Schizosaccharomyces pombe: one gene and its partners. The gene in region 1 interacts genetically with each later gene. Each region holds a gene or a part of one and is shown in the gene's direction. Other genes may lie near its edges.

Region 1 (5,220 bases):
TCTGATGAAACGAAGCTAATTGAAATATTATTTTTTCTGATACCAGAGTGAACATTTCATCTGCTAATTTTGTCACTGAAGATTTCGTTAAAGGCAAAGGCATTTCATATACCAGTCTGTAGAAACATCTAAGAATTTCACAGAAAGCGTCTGTGAAACATTTTTTTGCATTGAGCATACACGTTCGTATTGAAACTAAGCAATTAACGATGTCTTGGGTCAAAAAAGGGACATTATTGCTACAAGATACAAAATCTTTAGTATCACCGCATAAAAACGAACATTTGAAGCTGTCATCGCCGGAATCATTTACCAAATACTGCACTAATTCGTCAAGCCAAGTCTTCTGAAAAGCACATTCACACTCTAAAACCAGCTTTTTAAAATTCAAATGAGTAGAGCCCATATACATATTATGCAGCTTTTGAAACGTAGAAGCTACACTCAAGCATTGAGAAATATTACCTTGAAGTACTAGCAGACTAGATAAAGTTTCTTTCCAATCTGCTAAATGCGCTTCTAATTGCGCCAAGGATACGAATTTTCCGGAACCTACAAAATAAGGATCGCTGGATATAATCATCCGCTCTAAATTAGCTAGACTTTCATCATAAAGAAATAATTTTTTCGAAAGCAGAAGTCTAAGAGCTTTAAGAAGAAACTGGTTTTGCTGAATCAAATCTTCATCAAAAATTTCAATATATCGTTCTATCCTTTTCCTTTTACTTGCCAAAGATACTATGTCATTAATTAATTCTCGTTCACCAGGGTGTAATGGTTGAACAGATGGATGCAGTAGTATTTGACCATTTTTCTCAATAAACAGGCCAGAAGTATTCCCTGCGAGCAACAAAATAATCTCATGCAACATATAATGTATTTATTGTTACAGAGTTTGCATGAAAATATTCAACATATAGCCAATTTAAGTAAACTACTCCAAAGGAGGCTTTCGTAGTAAATGAGATAAATAGCTAAAACTTATTCGTGTTACTTTGAAGGTAACGACTAGGGAATGTCTTGCGTTGTTACAATGAACAATAATCAATGTAGCATTGCATATAATTCAATTAATATATATATATATATATATATATATATATTATTTTGTAATAACCTAGTAGGTACTGTTTATCTTAAACAAACAAAGTCTCAGACGAGCGAAGGTTTAACGACATTAATTTTGGGCAACAGGTAAACACAACACTTTAAAATTGATTAGAAGGGGGAGGTGGTCCACATGGCATGATCATTTTTTCTAATAGGTTTTTGCGAACTTGGACTCTCGGTTCGCCGAGCGCCGTTGCCATATATGCGAGCAACGGTGGATGCCCCACTACAGAAGACAAAGTATCCCGGTGCTGATTTACCATCCATTCACTAGTTTATATGGTGAGCGAAAATTCATTTGTCAAATAAACCGATTAGTACTTACTATTTGGTGGTAAACGCATTACCGACACCAACATAACGCGCTTGTAACTGTTCTAGTTTTGCTTGAGAGCGCAACCTGTCTGCCTACAATCGTTAATAAATGAAAGAAGCATAGAATAGAGATAATTCAAGAATTTTTTTCTTACCATAGTATATATTGGAATATGTGGTATAATGTTCAGACTGGGTTTTTTTAACACATATTGTTAATTGAAACGAATAAGGTATAATACTGTAATTTGCAATTCTAAATTGCGATTTCTAGCGCACCAAAGCAACCACAGAAATAAACGTTTCAAAATAAACATTGCTATCCTTTGACCAAAAACCTGTAGTTGCAGTTTTTTGATAATAGGGAGCACTACACTTGAAGATGTCTTCTCTTGCATCTCAGGGTAATAATGCTTCAACTCCTGCATATCGTTATGGGTTTCAAACTTCAGAAGTTGGGGACAGGCCAACTGTAAGTATGCCTTCACAACCTGAGTCGAGTGCTATGCTCGAGGATGATGGAATGGTGAAAAGGAAACCTTTTGCTGCTATAGGAGAAGCCATACCAAAGGTAATTGATACAACCGGAGAATCAGTACGTGAAGCCTTTGAAGAGTTTTTATTGTCATTTTCTGATGACCGCGTTGCTGGAGGTGATGCTCTCCCTTCTGCATCACAAGAGAAATATTATGTTCAACAGATTCATGGATTGGCAATGTATGAGATTCATACCGTTTACGTTGATTATAAGCATTTAACCTCGTACAATGATGTGTTAGCTCTTGCGATAGTTGAGCAATATTATCGATTTTCTCCTTTCTTACTTCGAGCTTTACAAAAGTTGATTGAAAAGTTTGAACCAGAATATTATAGAAGTTCTCTTTCTCGTGAAAATGCTTCACTTTCACCGAACTTTAAAGCCAGTGACAAAACATTTGCTCTTGCATTTTACAATTTACCCTTTCGATCCACAATTCGGGACTTACGAACAGATCGTATCGGTAGACTCACGACTATTACAGGTACAGTTACTCGTACTTCTGAAGTACGCCCTGAATTAGCACAAGGTACTTTTATCTGTGAGGAATGCCACACTGTAGTTTCAAATGTTGAGCAAGCATTTCGCTATACTGAACCAACTCAATGCCCTAATGAACTTTGTGCTAATAAAAGAAGTTGGCGGCTCAATATTTCACAGTCTTCTTTTCAGGACTGGCAAAAGGTGCGCATTCAAGAAAATAGCAACGAGATTCCTACGGGTTCTATGCCACGAACTTTGGACGTAATTTTGCGCGGAGATATTGTTGAAAGGGCTAAGGCTGGTGACAAATGCGCATTTACGGGAATTCTTATTGCCGTTCCAGATGTCTCACAGCTAGGAATTCCTGGTGTAAAGCCAGAAGCTTATCGAGATTCTCGCAATTTTGGTGGTAGAGATGCAGATGGTGTGACAGGACTGAAGTCTTTAGGTGTACGTGATCTTACATATAAACTATCTTTTTTAGCTTGCATGGTTCAACCAGATGATGCAAATGATAAAAGCGGTGCGGATGTCAGAGGGGATGGTTCTCAAGGGATCGAAGAGCAAGATGAATTTTTGCAATCGCTTTCTCAAGAAGAAATTGATGATTTACGTGCGATGGTGCATTCAGATCATATTTATTCTCGTTTGACAAACTCACTGGCTCCCTCTGTTTATGGTCATGAAATAATTAAGAAGGGGATTCTTTTACAGTTAATGGGTGGTGTTCACAAGTTAACTCCTGAAGGTATAAATCTTCGTGGCGACCTGAACATTTGTATTGTCGGCGACCCCAGTACTTCGAAATCACAATTTCTTAAATACGTTTGCAATTTTCTTCCTCGTGCAATCTACACTTCTGGAAAGGCATCATCTGCGGCCGGTCTCACAGCTGCAGTTGTTAAGGACGAAGAAACTGGGGATTTTACTATAGAAGCAGGCGCTTTAATGTTGGCTGACAATGGAATATGTGCTATAGATGAATTCGATAAAATGGATCTGTCAGACCAAGTTGCTATTCATGAAGCAATGGAACAACAAACGATATCTATAGCAAAAGCTGGAATTCAAGCTACATTAAACGCACGGACATCTATCCTTGCTGCTGCAAATCCAATAGGTGGCCGCTATAACCGAAAAACAACTTTGCGGAATAACATCAATATGTCTGCTCCTATCATGTCACGGTTTGATTTATTCTTCGTTGTACTAGATGAGTGCAATGAATCAGTTGATAGACATTTAGCTAAGCATATTGTTGACATTCATCGTTTACGGGATGATGCCATGCAACCTGAATTTAGTACTGAGCAACTTCAACGATATATCAGATATGCAAGGACTTTCAAACCAAAGTTAAATACAGAATCTTGTGCCGAAATTGTTAAAAAGTACAAGCAATTGCGGATGGATGACGCGCAAGGTGCTGGTAAAAATTCATATCGTATTACCGTGCGACAACTGGAGTCAATGATTCGTCTATCAGAAGCCATTGCAAGAGCAAACTGTGTAGATGATATTACTCCTGCATTTGTCAACGAAGCATACTCTTTATTACGTCAATCAATTATCCATGTGGAAAGAGATGATATTGAGGTTGAAGAAGATGATGCAGAGGCCCAAGAACTTGAGAATGATAATACTAATACAACAAATGGCAATGATAATGTTTCTTCGGAAGAAGCTTTGCAGAAACCAAAAGTAAAAATTACTTACGACAAATATGTTTCGATTATGAACGGAATATTACAGGTTTTACGCCAGCGCTCTACTGAAGGTGTAGATGGAGTACCAGCGGGAGACCTAGTTCAGTCATATCTCGAGCTTAGGGAAGACCAATTCCATACCGAGGAAGACATCATCTATGAGGTTGGTCTTGTGCGTAAGGTATTAACCAGGCTTGTTCACGAATCGATCATCATGGAAATTCAAAATTTAACTGACAGCGCCGTGAGGCTTCCTTTTGAAGAACGCGTATTTTCAATACACCCTAACTGTGACATTGATGCTCTACTGAGCAATGGCGATGTTCCGAACTAAGGTTATAAAAGATTCGTAACGATCTCTTATAAGTTTTATCAGTGAGGCGTATTTTTGAAACAGACCTGACATTAATTGTTGAAGCACTACTTTAATTCACGAAATTGGTGTATTTTTTTTTTCCTCACTGCATACCGTAGAAACCCTGATTTGTTATTTTAATCTTTACACTCTTTTTTTGTACTTTTATTCACTAAATTTGATAATACTATTGGATCCTACCGAAAAATATATACTCATTTTCCTGATCTAGACATTTATCAGATTAATCTATGTTTATTTCAAACATATAACCCAGGTAAATTAGTATAGTGATACGTTAAGCAATGTTAATATGTTGAAGCATATCTGCTGAAATCCGTTCAACACCAAAGGAAGGGTGAGACTGTTCAGGACTAAACCTCTACGCTATTTACAATAGTAAACACCTCAAGTTACTTTTTATAAAGACTCTTGATTAGTAGCTACAGAAGGGCTATGGAAGTGCCTCGCGCATCTCCTAACCAAGAGCCGTTATGTTCGATTTCACCGTCCTCCTTGGTGATCAATGAAATTATAACTGTCGTGACGGCAATTAGAAAAACCACGAGATGGAGGAATTCTGGTGTTGCATCCATTTTAGGAGTCTCAACACTTAAAGACGAATTTCTGGCTGATGGTTTAGAAAGCCGATGGAAAACAAATGGCGAAAAAAGCAGTAGTATCCGATATCCATTGGTTATGGAGTTTTCACA
Region 2 (6,044 bases), on another chromosome or scaffold:
TTTTAGTTGATGCCCTTTGGGCCATTTCCTATTTATCTGATGGCGCTAATGAGAAGATCCAAGCCATCATTGATGCAGGGATTCCTCGTAGGCTTGTTGAACTTTTAATGCATCCTAGCGCTCAAGTACAGACTCCTGCTCTCCGATCCGTAGGAAATATTGTTACAGGAGATGACGTTCAGACCCAGGTCATCATTAATTGTGGTGCTTTAAGTGCTTTACTTTCTTTGTTAAGCAGTCCACGCGATGGCGTTCGTAAGGAAGCCTGTTGGACAATTAGTAATATAACGGCCGGTAATTCTTCTCAAATTCAATATGTTATTGAAGCTAACATTATTCCTCCTTTAATTCATCTCCTTACGACCGCTGACTTTAAAATCCAAAAGGAAGCCTGCTGGGCCATTTCCAATGCCACATCCGGTGGCGCTCGTCGTCCCGACCAAATTCGCTACCTTGTAGAGCAAGGCGCAATCAAACCTTTATGTAATTTGCTGGCTTGTCAAGATAACAAGATTATCCAGGTTGCTTTAGATGGTATTGAAAATATTTTGCGAGTGGGTGAACTTGATCGCGCGAATAACCCTGATAAAATCAATTTATACGCCGTCTACGTTGAGGATGCTGGTGGTATGGATTTGATCCACGAATGTCAGAACTCATCTAATTCGGAAATTTACCAAAAAGCTTACAATATTATCGAAAAGTTTTTCGGTGAAGAAGACGAAATCGAAGAGCTTGAACCAGAAACCGTCGGTGATACGTTTACATTTGGAACTACACAAGAGCCTGCCGGCGATTTTCAATTTTCGGCGACTAATGCCGAAGATATGGCTATGTAATGATACTTCACATACATTATTCATTTATGCTTGTTTAGGTTTCGTTCTTTTTTAGATTGTTCATTTTCATAAACATCGAAGTGGCTTCATGATTTTGGCTGTGGTCCTGTGGTTTATAATATCGTTAAATTATTTCATTGAGCAATTGAGGATGCCGATTTTTTCATTTACCTTTACGTGTATGGCGCGATTGTTATTAGACGAGATTATTACATTTTAGGAGGTTTACCTAGACATACATTCCGCAGTTGTCACTCTTCTCATTTTGTTATATTGTTGTTTAATGATTGTGCTGGAAAGTTGAACATCTTGTACTTGTTAAATTATTTCTCAAGTCCGTCCTGAGTGTGCGTGTCGAAACGAACTTTTGTTTACTTTTTTTCATTCACTTTCTAACCAACGAATGGTTTATAGATCGTGGTTATTTTGTGAGTTTATTATTTGTTTTATTGACGAAACACAGGAATCATTCAACAGTTTTGGTCTTTGTTGTCGATTTAGTTGTAGCTTTTGGCTGCTCCACTACTAGATACAGGTTTTGTACCTTTGAAACAACATGGGACTAATTCAATTAATTTATTTTACATTGTCTTCATGATTGTACTTCCTCTATTGCTTAACTTTTATTTGAGGTTTTAGGAAGTTCAATATTTCCACCGCATTTGTCATCCTCTTTTCAACTTTTTTCTAATGAGACAGCTGATTCATCATTGTATTCATAACTTTGACCATCGCATCGAAAGAGGAAAATGAAATCAGATTTGTCTTGTTGATATGCATAGTTTCCTTTGAATAGCCATGAAAATGTAGCCTTATTCTTCTTTCACGATGCTCCATACTTTAGAGTTGGAGCTTTAATATTATTATATGTAACAATATTAGTACCAAACTATGATACATTACTTTGTGCTAGCAAAAATCTTCTAGTTAAATTTTGAATTTATTAACAAAGATCATAAGGCTGACATTAAAGACAATAATTGAATCTTCCTTACTCAATATAATATCTAAACCTAGTCATCTCGAAAAATTTGTAACCAGTGAACCTTCCATTTATTAAAGTCTGCTATACTACTTAACGACATTTTACGCAATATAACGACATTGTTCAATTACAGTAAACTCGTGTGCCCTAGCAATCTACAAAAAGTAAACATTACCCATATACGCCTTGCGAGGCGACCTTCCCTATCCTATGCATTTGGAAGTATCTGATATTGTCTAAAGACAATAACCAGAAGTTTTAAAAAAATTAATTTTATAGTTTTAAGGATCGGAAGTCGAAATTTGGTATCTAAATTTCACTTGTTGAAGCTTGCTCAGAATGAAACCGATAACGTCTTCTTCTAAACGCCGATGGAATCGGTTTCGAAGGGAAATGTGTAATTACTCTAAACGACTTGACACTTTCCAGAAAAAAAAATGGCCGCGAGCCAAACCGACGCCAGAAACTGTATGTTGACGATAGAGTTTTCATCTGTGTTGCTAACAAGAAAATAGCTTGCTACTGTCGGTTTCTATTACAATCCAATCTCTGAATCTAATTCTGAAGAAAGACTTGATAATGTTACATGCTATATGTGTACCAAGTCATTTTATGACTGGGAGGATGATGATGATCCATTGAAAGAGCATATTACTCATAGCCCCAGCTGTCCATGGGCATATATTTTATCCTCAAAAAACAATCCAAACCAGAACCCCCAAGCTGCAGCTCTCACAAAATGTCGAGAACAAACTTTTGTTGATAAAGTATGGCCGTATACCAATCGCCCTGATTATCACTGTGAGCCGAGTGTAATGGCTGCTTCTGGTTTTGTATACAATCCAACTGCTGATGCTAAAGATGCAGCTCATTGCTTATATTGTGATATTAATCTTCATGATTGGGAACCGGATGATGACCCTTACACCGAGCACAAACGCCGTCGTGCGGACTGTGTGTTTTTTACATGGAAAGACCCAAATAGCTTATCTCCTACTAAACTGTCTTTTTTATCTACGTCGAACATTGACCCTGAAGACTTGACCGAGGATAATTCCATTCTTCCCGTTTCTCCCACCCGAGATTCAACAAAATCTCATAAAACTTTAAATTTCTCCCCTAGTAGAAAGAATAATCTTAATGCACGTCCTTTAACAATGTCCCTTTATACTAATACCTCTGAGGAGAAAGACTCACAACCCACCCGTGCACCACAAAGTCCAACGAAGCCCGTTTTACTTACGGCTCCAAGGCGAAAAAATAAATCTCCAAAAAAATCAAAGCCAGCAGTCTTTAAACCTGTTAAGCCAATTTTTTCTGATGAAGACGAAGATGACGACGACTTGACCGCCTCTCAACCCTTCTCTAAAGGGATATGTAATGACTCTATGCAAGTAGCCAAAAAGAATTTTACAGAAGAAATTCCACTTAAAGAAGATGAAAAAGATAATGAGCTGGAACATCTTGTATCACCAGCTACATCCGTCCACACAACTGTTTCTGACATAACTGGACATCAATCTGTAACTGATGAAAGTGATGAGCAAAATAATTGTATGTCTACGCCGCCGAAAATTGAAATCGAATCAAAAATTGAAGAAGAAATATCTGTGGTTTCCAAATCAAAGGAAATTTCGTCTTCTGTTTCTTCTGTTGGTAAAGAGCAAAATCATACAGAAAAACAAGTTGCTATCGAAACTCCGGAACAGCAGAAGGTTGAAAAAGAAGATGAGCATTTAAATCTTCAAGGTTCGTTCATAGAGGAGTCCACAAAACAACCAATCTCTTCAAAGCCATCAACTTCATCTCCCGATATGACTGATGCTGCAACAGGAGGTAGAGTGTCTTCTTCAAGCTTCAGAGATAAAATATTACAAACCAATTTTTCACCAAGGAGTACAATAGATTCGTTTAGCAACATTTCAAAAAAGAGAAACTCGGAAGAAGCAAATGATGAAAATGACGAGACCAATTTGAAAATACCAATTCCTGAAAAGAAGAGAAAATTTCAAGAAGTTTTACAATCTAAAAACATTTTAGTTTCGTCTACTGAGGATTCACATGAACCAGTAAAAGTTACAGAGGACAGCCAAACTGCCATTCACGTTAGTAAATTTGAGGATCTTGAGAATAAGAGTATGGAGTCTGAACAGTCACTACAATTGCTTTCTGAATCTGAAAATGATGACAAACCTTTAATTGATCTAATTCCTCTCTTAGCAATTAAAAGGAAGGATAATCTTGTAAGCGGAGTTTTAGAGAAGGGAAAAAGTACCTCAACATCAAAAACAAAGTTTGATACATCAATAGTGGACTTTATAGAAAAACCAAAAACTGAAATTAGCGAAGTGCTTCCTGAGGAAAAAAGAAAGGCCATTTGCGATGAGTCCCAAACGGTTAGAGTTTCTATAGATAGAGGAGTGACCAAGACGAGAGACGTATCAAGTCCTGTTTCCGATGAAAAAAGTGAAAATGTTAATCATGAGGAAGCTAATTCTGGTCATACTGTCATGAATGTTCATTCAAGCCTGGATCCCCAGCCGATCGTACAACCCAATGAACTTGAATCAGGAAGTTACTTAAAGGATCTTCCTGACAGAAACGTCGGAAACTCCGAAAAAGTGACATTTCAAGAAGATGACATTAATTCTCCTAAGCTACAGAGCAAGAACAATCAAACCGTTGAAGCTGTTAATACAGAAACTTCTGATAAATTGCAAGAAAAGGAGGCCAACCATGAATTAGAAAATATTGAAAAGATTGAAGAAAAATTGACTGAGGTAGACAAAGTCTCGTTAAGTGATGCTTTTCCTGATCAAGAAATCAAAAATTCTAGGACTTCTGTACAGAATGGTACTAGATCAGTGTCGAAAAATACACCTGAGAAGGAAACGAAGGTAGATAAAATCGATAATGTAAGTAAAAAGGATGTTGAAACTTCACCTGGTTCTTGTGAAACCTCTTCAGCTTTCGCTAAAACTTACGCTGAGAAAGAAGTAACGAGTATAAATTTGCCAAGTGTCCGGAAGCCTTTAGATGAATCCTACTATGACCATTCGATCAGTCCATTTGATCCATTGTGCCAATCTTCATTTTTGGCTCCTCAAACTCCTGTCAAATCAAAACATGCTTTGCCCTTAGTTGAAGCAAATGCACCACCATGGGAACCCATAGATTTCTCGAGTCTATTAGAATCTCCAGTACCGAATCCTGTAGAGCCAAACAAACTAAGTGAAAAAGAACTGGATATGACCGTTGAGCAGTGGATTAAATTTATGTATGCTAAATGTGCAAAAGAGTTTGAAGAAGCCTGTGAAGAAAAAATAGAATGGTTACTGGAAGAAGGTAAGCGGGCGGAAGAATACATACAAAACTTATAATTTTACATATTGTGTTTCTGTATTTATGGACCGTCTCGCTTTAAGCGAAAATGTTGGCGGGCTACATTTTAAAGTAATGTGAACTAAATTTGTCTGAATGCACTGTCAGCGTCCTTTTCTTTCTTTTTCTTTTATGTTTCTTGTTTTGTTAATCGGATCCTCTTATTATCTGTATTTATATCAACACTACGCTAATCTGGTGATGTAGTCTTAATAATTCTTCTTATAGTATTTATTTTTTTGGCAGCACAATATACAAATATGGTACTATATTTGAGTCAATATGAATAGAATGAATTAAACAACAAGATAGTGAAAGTAAAGTATAACGAACGTTGAAAAGAACCGGAAGCATTACCCATACTACTCAGCTTCGACCTTAATTTCAACAGAAGATGAACCACCAATTACAACCCTAAATGTACCAATAGCATCTTCTTGAAATACCGCTTCACCCAGTTTAGTATGTCCAAGCAAGTTGGAAGTAACGGCTGAAATTCGAAGTTCGTCACCCAAACTCCATTTGACCGGAATCTCTTCGTTCCATGAGGGAGACGGGCCTTTCCGAGATTTGGTTTTAAAGCTGTGGTCTTGATTGTCTGTAACGATAATCTTTATAGTCTTATGAGGCATATTTTTACCTTGACCAACGTATACTTTATACTTTTTCTGTGCCAATTCAGGTGCTCCCGTAGTCTTGTCAATAGTGCTAGTTAAGGCAGCGTTTGCAGACTCAGGTGCAATAGCCGGTGGCACAGAAGCAGAAGAAGAAGCTTCCTGGGTTGTCGTGAGATCAGAGCGAGATGGATTCTTTTCCAAGGAACGCCTAAACATGCCCAT
Region 3 (6,436 bases), on another chromosome or scaffold:
GGCGATTCAAATTCTTTCATTAGAAAACGTTGCTTCCGATAAATTAGTTACGTACAACGTTTTGAGTAATGATGAGCTACGTGAAGGTATAAAGGAGTTCAGCGACTGGCCTACGATTCCTCAACTTTATATTAACGGAGAATTCGTGGGCGGTAGTGATATCTTGGCGTCCATGCATAAATCGTAAGTAATGTTTTAAACTGTATTTTTATTATTTGGTAGAGAGACGGTGAGGATTGAGGAGGTGTCATAGGAAATGTTAAAGATGATGAAGGAGGATTCTACAACTGTTTAATCACTCTAGTTGATATTAAAGATAAAAAAACCCTGTTATATTTTCGCTCTTTCTTCAAATGAACTTTCCCTTTTAAAGCATTGGATAAAAATCAACTATTAGTGTATCAGTGTCTTTAATTCGTCGTCTATATATGCCACATTGTTCTCTCCCTCATTTTTTCTCTCATATTTAATTATTTCTCCTTGTCAACATTTCTGTATTAACAATTTGTCTGTAGAGGAGAGCTTCACAAAATTCTAAAAGAAATAAATGCTTTGGCCCCTGAACAGCCAAAGGATAGTGAAGAGGAAACTACTAAAAAGGATTGAGTCCACATTGCAAATTAATTTGCACAACGTACCACGGTCTTGTGCATTTTTTAGTTTATTGGTCAACTTGACACCACAGGCCATGTATATCAATCAGACGTTATTCAATTATCTTTTTGCTGTACGCTTGATATTCTTTAATGAAGCTTTGAAATTCTGTTTCTCCTCTTTTTTGTGTTCATGCCCTTTCATGACAAAATGTTGGAAATAATGTAAAAGAGCTCTATAAGAAAAAATAATTTTTATCGGAAGTTATTTTTTGGATCAACCTCAATATCAATTTGAAAGCGATCATGTTCATGTTCATGTCCATCCAAATGACATAGAGAATGGAAATTAGTGTCGTGATTTATGCCTTATTGTTATTCCTTGACTTTTTTTTTAAAAAAAATGTCGTAAATTAGATTTAATGTTAAAGCGCTATTGCTGAATACTGTTTTATTTTGCTTATGTTGTTGCACAGAACAATGTCTTGGTAGGTGTAATTCACAGAAAGCATTACGATTGGTTATCTGATATGATTTAAAAATTCTTCTTTGATTATATAAAGTACTGGCTTATCGACGTTACGAGACGTTTACCAAACTTTTATTAACAGATGCTTGTGTTTCTTGACAAACAACATTATTCCTTCCAAGCTCAGCATATAGCGAATTATAGTGTAACTGCGATATAAAGTATTAGCGAACTCTCCCTTTTTAATTCTATTCAAATTGCGTTAGTTTGTGTAGCATGTAATGACGGCACGCGCATAGTGAATTGTAATATACAAAACGCTACACCAAAGCGCGCGCTCTAAAACACGCCAAAACGAGGTGCACGCAACTTAGCTTGCGCGAAAGCGCGTTTCTCGCGTCGCGTCGCGTTTACTTCTTTTATATGCTTGCTATGCCTGTCTTTTGCTTTTTCACTGACACTTTGACTTGTGTTGAGTTACAAGAAAGGCTTCAAAGGCACTTGTACAAGTGTAATTTCCCTTTTACAAGACTCTACCAAAGGTTGGATCCACCTTGAAGTCCTTCTCTTGTTGTCGCTGCTTTTTGCGTTTCTTCTTTTCTCTTTGAATATTCCTTCTTTCTAATTTCTTTTTTCAAATACATGCTATAGGGATCAGTTTAGGCTCCATATACTAGGTTGAGCTGGTTTTAACTGTAAACAATAGTAAATTAAGCTTTCAGTATTTTGAGTGTCAAGCTAGTTTTTACTCCGGAGTATCTTATTTCTACTGTACTTATTTTCTTTTAATTAATTTTTTACACTTTTCAGCTGCTAAGTGTCGGTTTCTATTGTGTACTTTACCGTTTTAAGTTTCTTTGTTTTCTTTGTTCTGGTTCGCTTATTGTCCTACTCTTTTACAGGAGGCGCTTGCCAAAGACAGTCATTTCTCTTATAACAAGTACACTATATCTTATTAAAACATAATTAATCGTCCCCTTTCGATATTAGTGCAACAATTGCTATCCTACAGTCTTCCCAATTGCAATTTATTTAGCCTTTCAGCATTGCTCTCGCCCTCAAGCTGAAAAGGTTTTACTCGCTTTTCTTGCTGGAAAAATAACACCTACATTTGTTATTCTTTTAAATTCGAACTATCAAACTTATTTGCTTGTATTGTTCGTCTTAGTGCTGCTTTTTCTGATCCATCGTTTGTTTATCAAACCTTCAACTTTGCTTTTTCTAAACTAATTACAAAGAAGTGTTCTTTTTAATTCTCTTCGTTAATCATTGTCCCTTTAAACTACGCTCTTGTGCTTTATAAGAGTTAATTCTGCATACCTCAAAGAGGTAAATTCATTTTCGAATCGAACGTTAAAAAATTTATCTTTACTTTTTTTTCTTTCTCAATTTTGATTACATCTGCTTGTTTTTTTTTTTCGTTTATATCCACAACAGTAGGTTGGTTTGGTTTGTTTACACAATTCATTTGTTTATGTTTGGACGATTTCTTTCCCTTTCTTCCTATCAACAACAATAGAATAATTCGGACCCATTGATTTATTCTCATTTAAAAGAGAAACTTTAAAAATTCGCTATAAGTGCTTTCTGTTTCTCGATCGCTCAATTTCCCTAATTTATCCATCTTGTCAATTGAGATTAATTTACCAAAAACAGTTTCCTTATTTTAATAAAAAGAAGACATTTTTGGTTACAAACAATCAGATATATTTCTATACGTTGATAAAAGGGTAATTTATCAATCCATATTTCATATGGCTCTCTATTCAATTTCAAAGCCTGTTGGTTCTAAAATCAATAAGCATAGTTATCAAGATGAAAACACACTTGTTGGCAAACAAGCTTTATCAAAAGGGACTGAGAAGACAAAATTATCTACAAATTTTGAAATTAATCTGCCACGTCGAACTGTCCTATCTGATGTTTCCAATGTAGGTAAAAATAATGCTGATGAGAAGGATACGAAAAAAGCGAAAAGATCGTTCGATGAATCTAATTTATCTACAAATGAAGAAGCTGATAAACCTGTCGAATCTAAATTCGTGAAAAAGTTGAAAGTTTATAGCAAAAATGCGGATCCATCTGTAGAAACTTTACAAAAGGACAGAGTCTCTAATGTTGATGATCATTTATCCTCCAATCCTTTGATGGCTGAGGAATACGCACCCGAAATATTTGAGTACATCAGAAAGCTGGATTTAAAGTGTCTTCCCAATCCAAAATATATGGACCAACAAAAAGAATTAACCTGGAAAATGAGGGAAATTTTGAATGAATGGTTGGTGGAAATACATTCCAACTTTTGTTTAATGCCCGAAACCCTTTATTTGGCAGTCAATATAATTGATCGATTCTTGTCGCGTCGTTCATGCTCTTTGTCTAAATTTCAATTAACAGGCATTACTGCTCTTCTCATCGCTAGCAAATATGAGGAGGTTATGTGTCCTTCGATACAAAACTTTGTTTACATGACTGATGGTGCTTTTACCGTAGAAGATGTCTGTGTCGCTGAACGTTATATGTTAAATGTTCTCAATTTTGACTTGTCCTATCCAAGTCCTTTAAATTTTCTTCGCAAAATATCTCAAGCAGAAGGTTATGATGCACAAACAAGGACATTGGGGAAATACCTAACAGAAATTTATCTGTTTGACCACGATTTATTACGATATCCTATGTCTAAAATTGCTGCTGCCGCAATGTATTTGAGCCGCCGATTATTGCGTCGCGGCCCATGGACGCCAAAGTTAGTTGAAAGCTCTGGTGGGTATGAAGAGCATGAATTAAAGGAGATAGCGTATATTATGCTTCATTATCATAACAAGCCTCTAGAACACAAAGCCTTTTTCCAAAAATACTCCTCAAAAAGGTTCCTGAAGGCTAGTATTTTTGTTCATCAACTCGTCCGTCAACGATACTCAGTCAATCGTACGGACGATGATGACCTTCAATCAGAACCGTCTTCTTCTTTAACAAATGATGGTCACTAACGAACGCTCTTATAAATTTTCTTACGCAAATATTCTGTTGAATATGAGGTTGAGCTCTTCTTTTATTATTTATTATCATAACTTATTTACTTTTTAAAGAGCTTCTTTTTCTTCTTCTCTTTCTTTGAATCTTATCATCTTTATGCAAGGACTGTTTTCAAGTATGTCATCAAGCCTTTCCTCCTTGATAACTAAGTCCTTAATTATATACCATATACCCAAGTTTTATCCAAGAGTTTTAGAATTGAAAATTTTGTAGTCTACTAAACAAACCGTGTTGATGCTTAATCCTCACACATTGTCTTTTAGATGATTCCGTTGATTCTAGAGTATTCGATAATTTCATTCCTTACTTTATGTTACGTTTACATTTTTTATTTCAAAATACGTGTACGTTGTTTCCTCATATTTCTGTTAAACAACATGTTTCTAATTAATGGAGTTTTCTTTATTCATTCATAAAACTTAAAGCTCAAGCGGTATATAACAAACTGGCTAAACCATTAATAGGCAAAAACCAAGTAACTCATAAAGATAAACAAAGAAAGTAGACATAAGGAAAAAGGTAAAGCTGACTCGTTTTCTATACAAAAAGGGAATTTTTAAACCTAAGAAACAAACTTTTAATTGATAACAAATATAGAAAAAGAAGGCGATTTCCAACGAGAATAAGGAAATAAAAAAGAAAAATTCGATAATAGAATCACTGTTATTCTGTCTCATACATTCGTCTTAAATTAATGAACATTTGAGCTTTTTTTATCGAGAGCTTGGCGATTGTGAGAAATCCAAATGTCATGCCCACCTAATCGTCCGCTGGCTTCACTAACAAGTGTTGAGATAGGAATCATTAAAGCTACGCTAGTAGCTGAAGAAACAGAAGGTGAACGGATCTTCATAAATCTCTGTTTTACACGGGGACGAAGACGTTCAGGAAGCGCTTCCATCTGTTTATCAAATTTGGAGTTGTTGAGTAGGTGGCGTATCCTTCCTCCTCTAATGCGTTGAACGAAGCCAAGGGAATGACGAATAGAGTCAATAACTTCGTTGGGAGATGTGGGTTCATACGGGATAAGACTAAGGGATTCAACATCATGATCGGTTGAACGGCGCTTAGAACGGAACCTAGGATTTAGAATCCAAGAGAAAACAGTGTCAATTGTCTTAACCGGAAGGACCTTTCTTAGGAAATTGTTTGGTACACAACGAATCAAGGCTCCAAGTGGGATAGAGATAACACCAAACACGATGGAAATCGCCCATCCTTTACCATCGATTCTTTTTACGGAGAATGCGGCACCTCCGAAAAAAACAATTATAACTTGGATACCAGCAACAATAACGAAAATAGCAATAAAGAGGAAGTTATGGTTAATACGTTCAAAAATATTGAGCTTGTTATCCAATCTCCGATTGTTAATTTCGTTAAACAGCTGGAGCCAGACAAAGGTATTGAAAACAATAGTATTCATGTCCGCAGTATTGGAAGGGTAATGGAAGATACTATTACCAGCAAAGTGTAGCACCAAAGTAACAGCAAGTTGGTACATAGATTGACAAATAATCATTTTCCACATGTCAAAAGTAAAAAGCGATGCACCTGGTTTCTCAGGTTTCCTCTTTAACACTTCAGGAGTAGGAGGGTCAGTGGCAAGTGCAAGAGCAGCAAGTGTATCCATAATTAAATTAACCCACAAAAGCTGAACAGCAGTTAAAACAGAGCTTTGGTCAGTCGAGGCAACAGCAGAGATAATAGTCAAGAAAACAGCCGTAATATTCACGGTAATTTGAAATTGCAGGAATTTTTTTACAGCGTCGTTAACGGTTCTTCCCCAAGCAATTGCTTTCACAATTGACGAGAAGTTGTCGTCCATAAGGATAATATCGGACGCCTCCTTGGCAACTTCGGTTCCCGATTTACCCATTGAAAAGCCGACGTTAGCTTTTTTTAGTGCAGGCGCATCATTGGTACCATCACCTGTAACCGCTACTACGTTACCAAGCTTCTGCAGTCCTTCAATCAATAACTGTTTGTCCAAAGGAGATGAGCGTGCAAGTACATCTAATTTGGGTAAGATTTCTAAGCGTTTCTCATCAGAAAGAGATCGAAATTCCGGTCCTTCCATGGATATTCCATCCTCTGTGTAAATTCCGCACTGCGAAGCAATAGCCTTAGCAGTAACAATATTATCACCAGTAACCATACGAACAGTCACCCCTGCACCTTGGCAAACCTTTACAGCCAAAGGTACATCTGGCCGAATAGGGTCCATGATACCGAAAAATCCTAAGAAAGTCATGTCTGTAAATGCGTCTTCCCATTTCAAAGGATTAGAACTATCCTCGTCATTGGTGGGAATATCTTTGGGAGGCCAAGAGTCAAA

The links. Genes that interact genetically often act in the same process or in processes that back each other up.
Region 2: of mcm6 (region 1) and bir1, extra expression of one rescues a mutant of the other (dosage rescue), as found in Schizosaccharomyces pombe (one study listed by BioGRID).
Region 3: of mcm6 (region 1) and cig2, a mutation in one rescues a mutant of the other (synthetic rescue), as found in Schizosaccharomyces pombe (2 studies listed by BioGRID, with this or other methods).

The regions. Positions count from the first base shown.
Region 1 is NC_003423.3:3,879,584-3,884,803, reverse strand, and holds mcm6 (MCM complex subunit Mcm6), read left to right. Parts: upstream 1-1,746; 5' UTR 1,747-1,807; coding exon 1,808-4,486; 3' UTR 4,487-4,706; downstream 4,707-5,220. Other genes in the region: gamma tubulin complex GCP4 subunit Gfh1, read right to left, coding at 1-871; sap10 (splicing factor 3B), read right to left, coding at 1,209-1,380, 1,436-1,518, 1,581-1,583; gea1 (guanyl-nucleotide exchange factor), read left to right, coding at 4,964-5,220. UniProt on the Schizosaccharomyces pombe protein: Acts as a component of the mcm2-7 complex (mcm complex) which is the putative replicative helicase essential for 'once per cell cycle' DNA replication initiation and elongation in eukaryotic cells.
Region 2 is NC_003421.2:545,268-551,311, reverse strand, and holds bir1 (survivin Bir1), read left to right. Parts: upstream 1-2,012; 5' UTR 2,013-2,163; coding exon 2,164-2,292; exon of another isoform or gene 2,293-2,339; coding exon 2,340-5,204; 3' UTR 5,205-5,507; downstream 5,508-6,044. Other genes in the region: importin alpha family nuclear import signal receptor adaptor Cut15, read left to right, coding at 1-839; tricalbin, C2 domain protein (phospholipid binding) ER-plasma membrane tethering protein Tcb1, read right to left, coding at 5,568-6,044. UniProt on the Schizosaccharomyces pombe protein: Component of the chromosomal passenger complex (CPC), a complex that acts as a key regulator of chromosome segregation and cytokinesis.
Region 3 is NC_003424.3:2,708,264-2,714,699, forward strand, and holds cig2 (G1/S-specific B-type cyclin Cig2), read left to right. Parts: upstream 1-1,518; 5' UTR 1,519-2,816; coding exon 2,817-4,052; 3' UTR 4,053-4,789; downstream 4,790-6,436. Other genes in the region: mitochondrial [2Fe-2S] cluster assembly and transfer glutaredoxin Grx5, read left to right, coding at 1-183, 516-606; P2 type calcium transporting P-type ATPase Pmc1, read right to left, coding at 4,790-6,436. UniProt on the Schizosaccharomyces pombe protein: Essential for the control of the cell cycle at the G2/M and G1/S (mitosis) transition. Interacts with the cdc2 protein kinase to form MPF. Interaction with res2 promotes the phosphorylation of res1 and inhibits MBF-dependent gene transcription.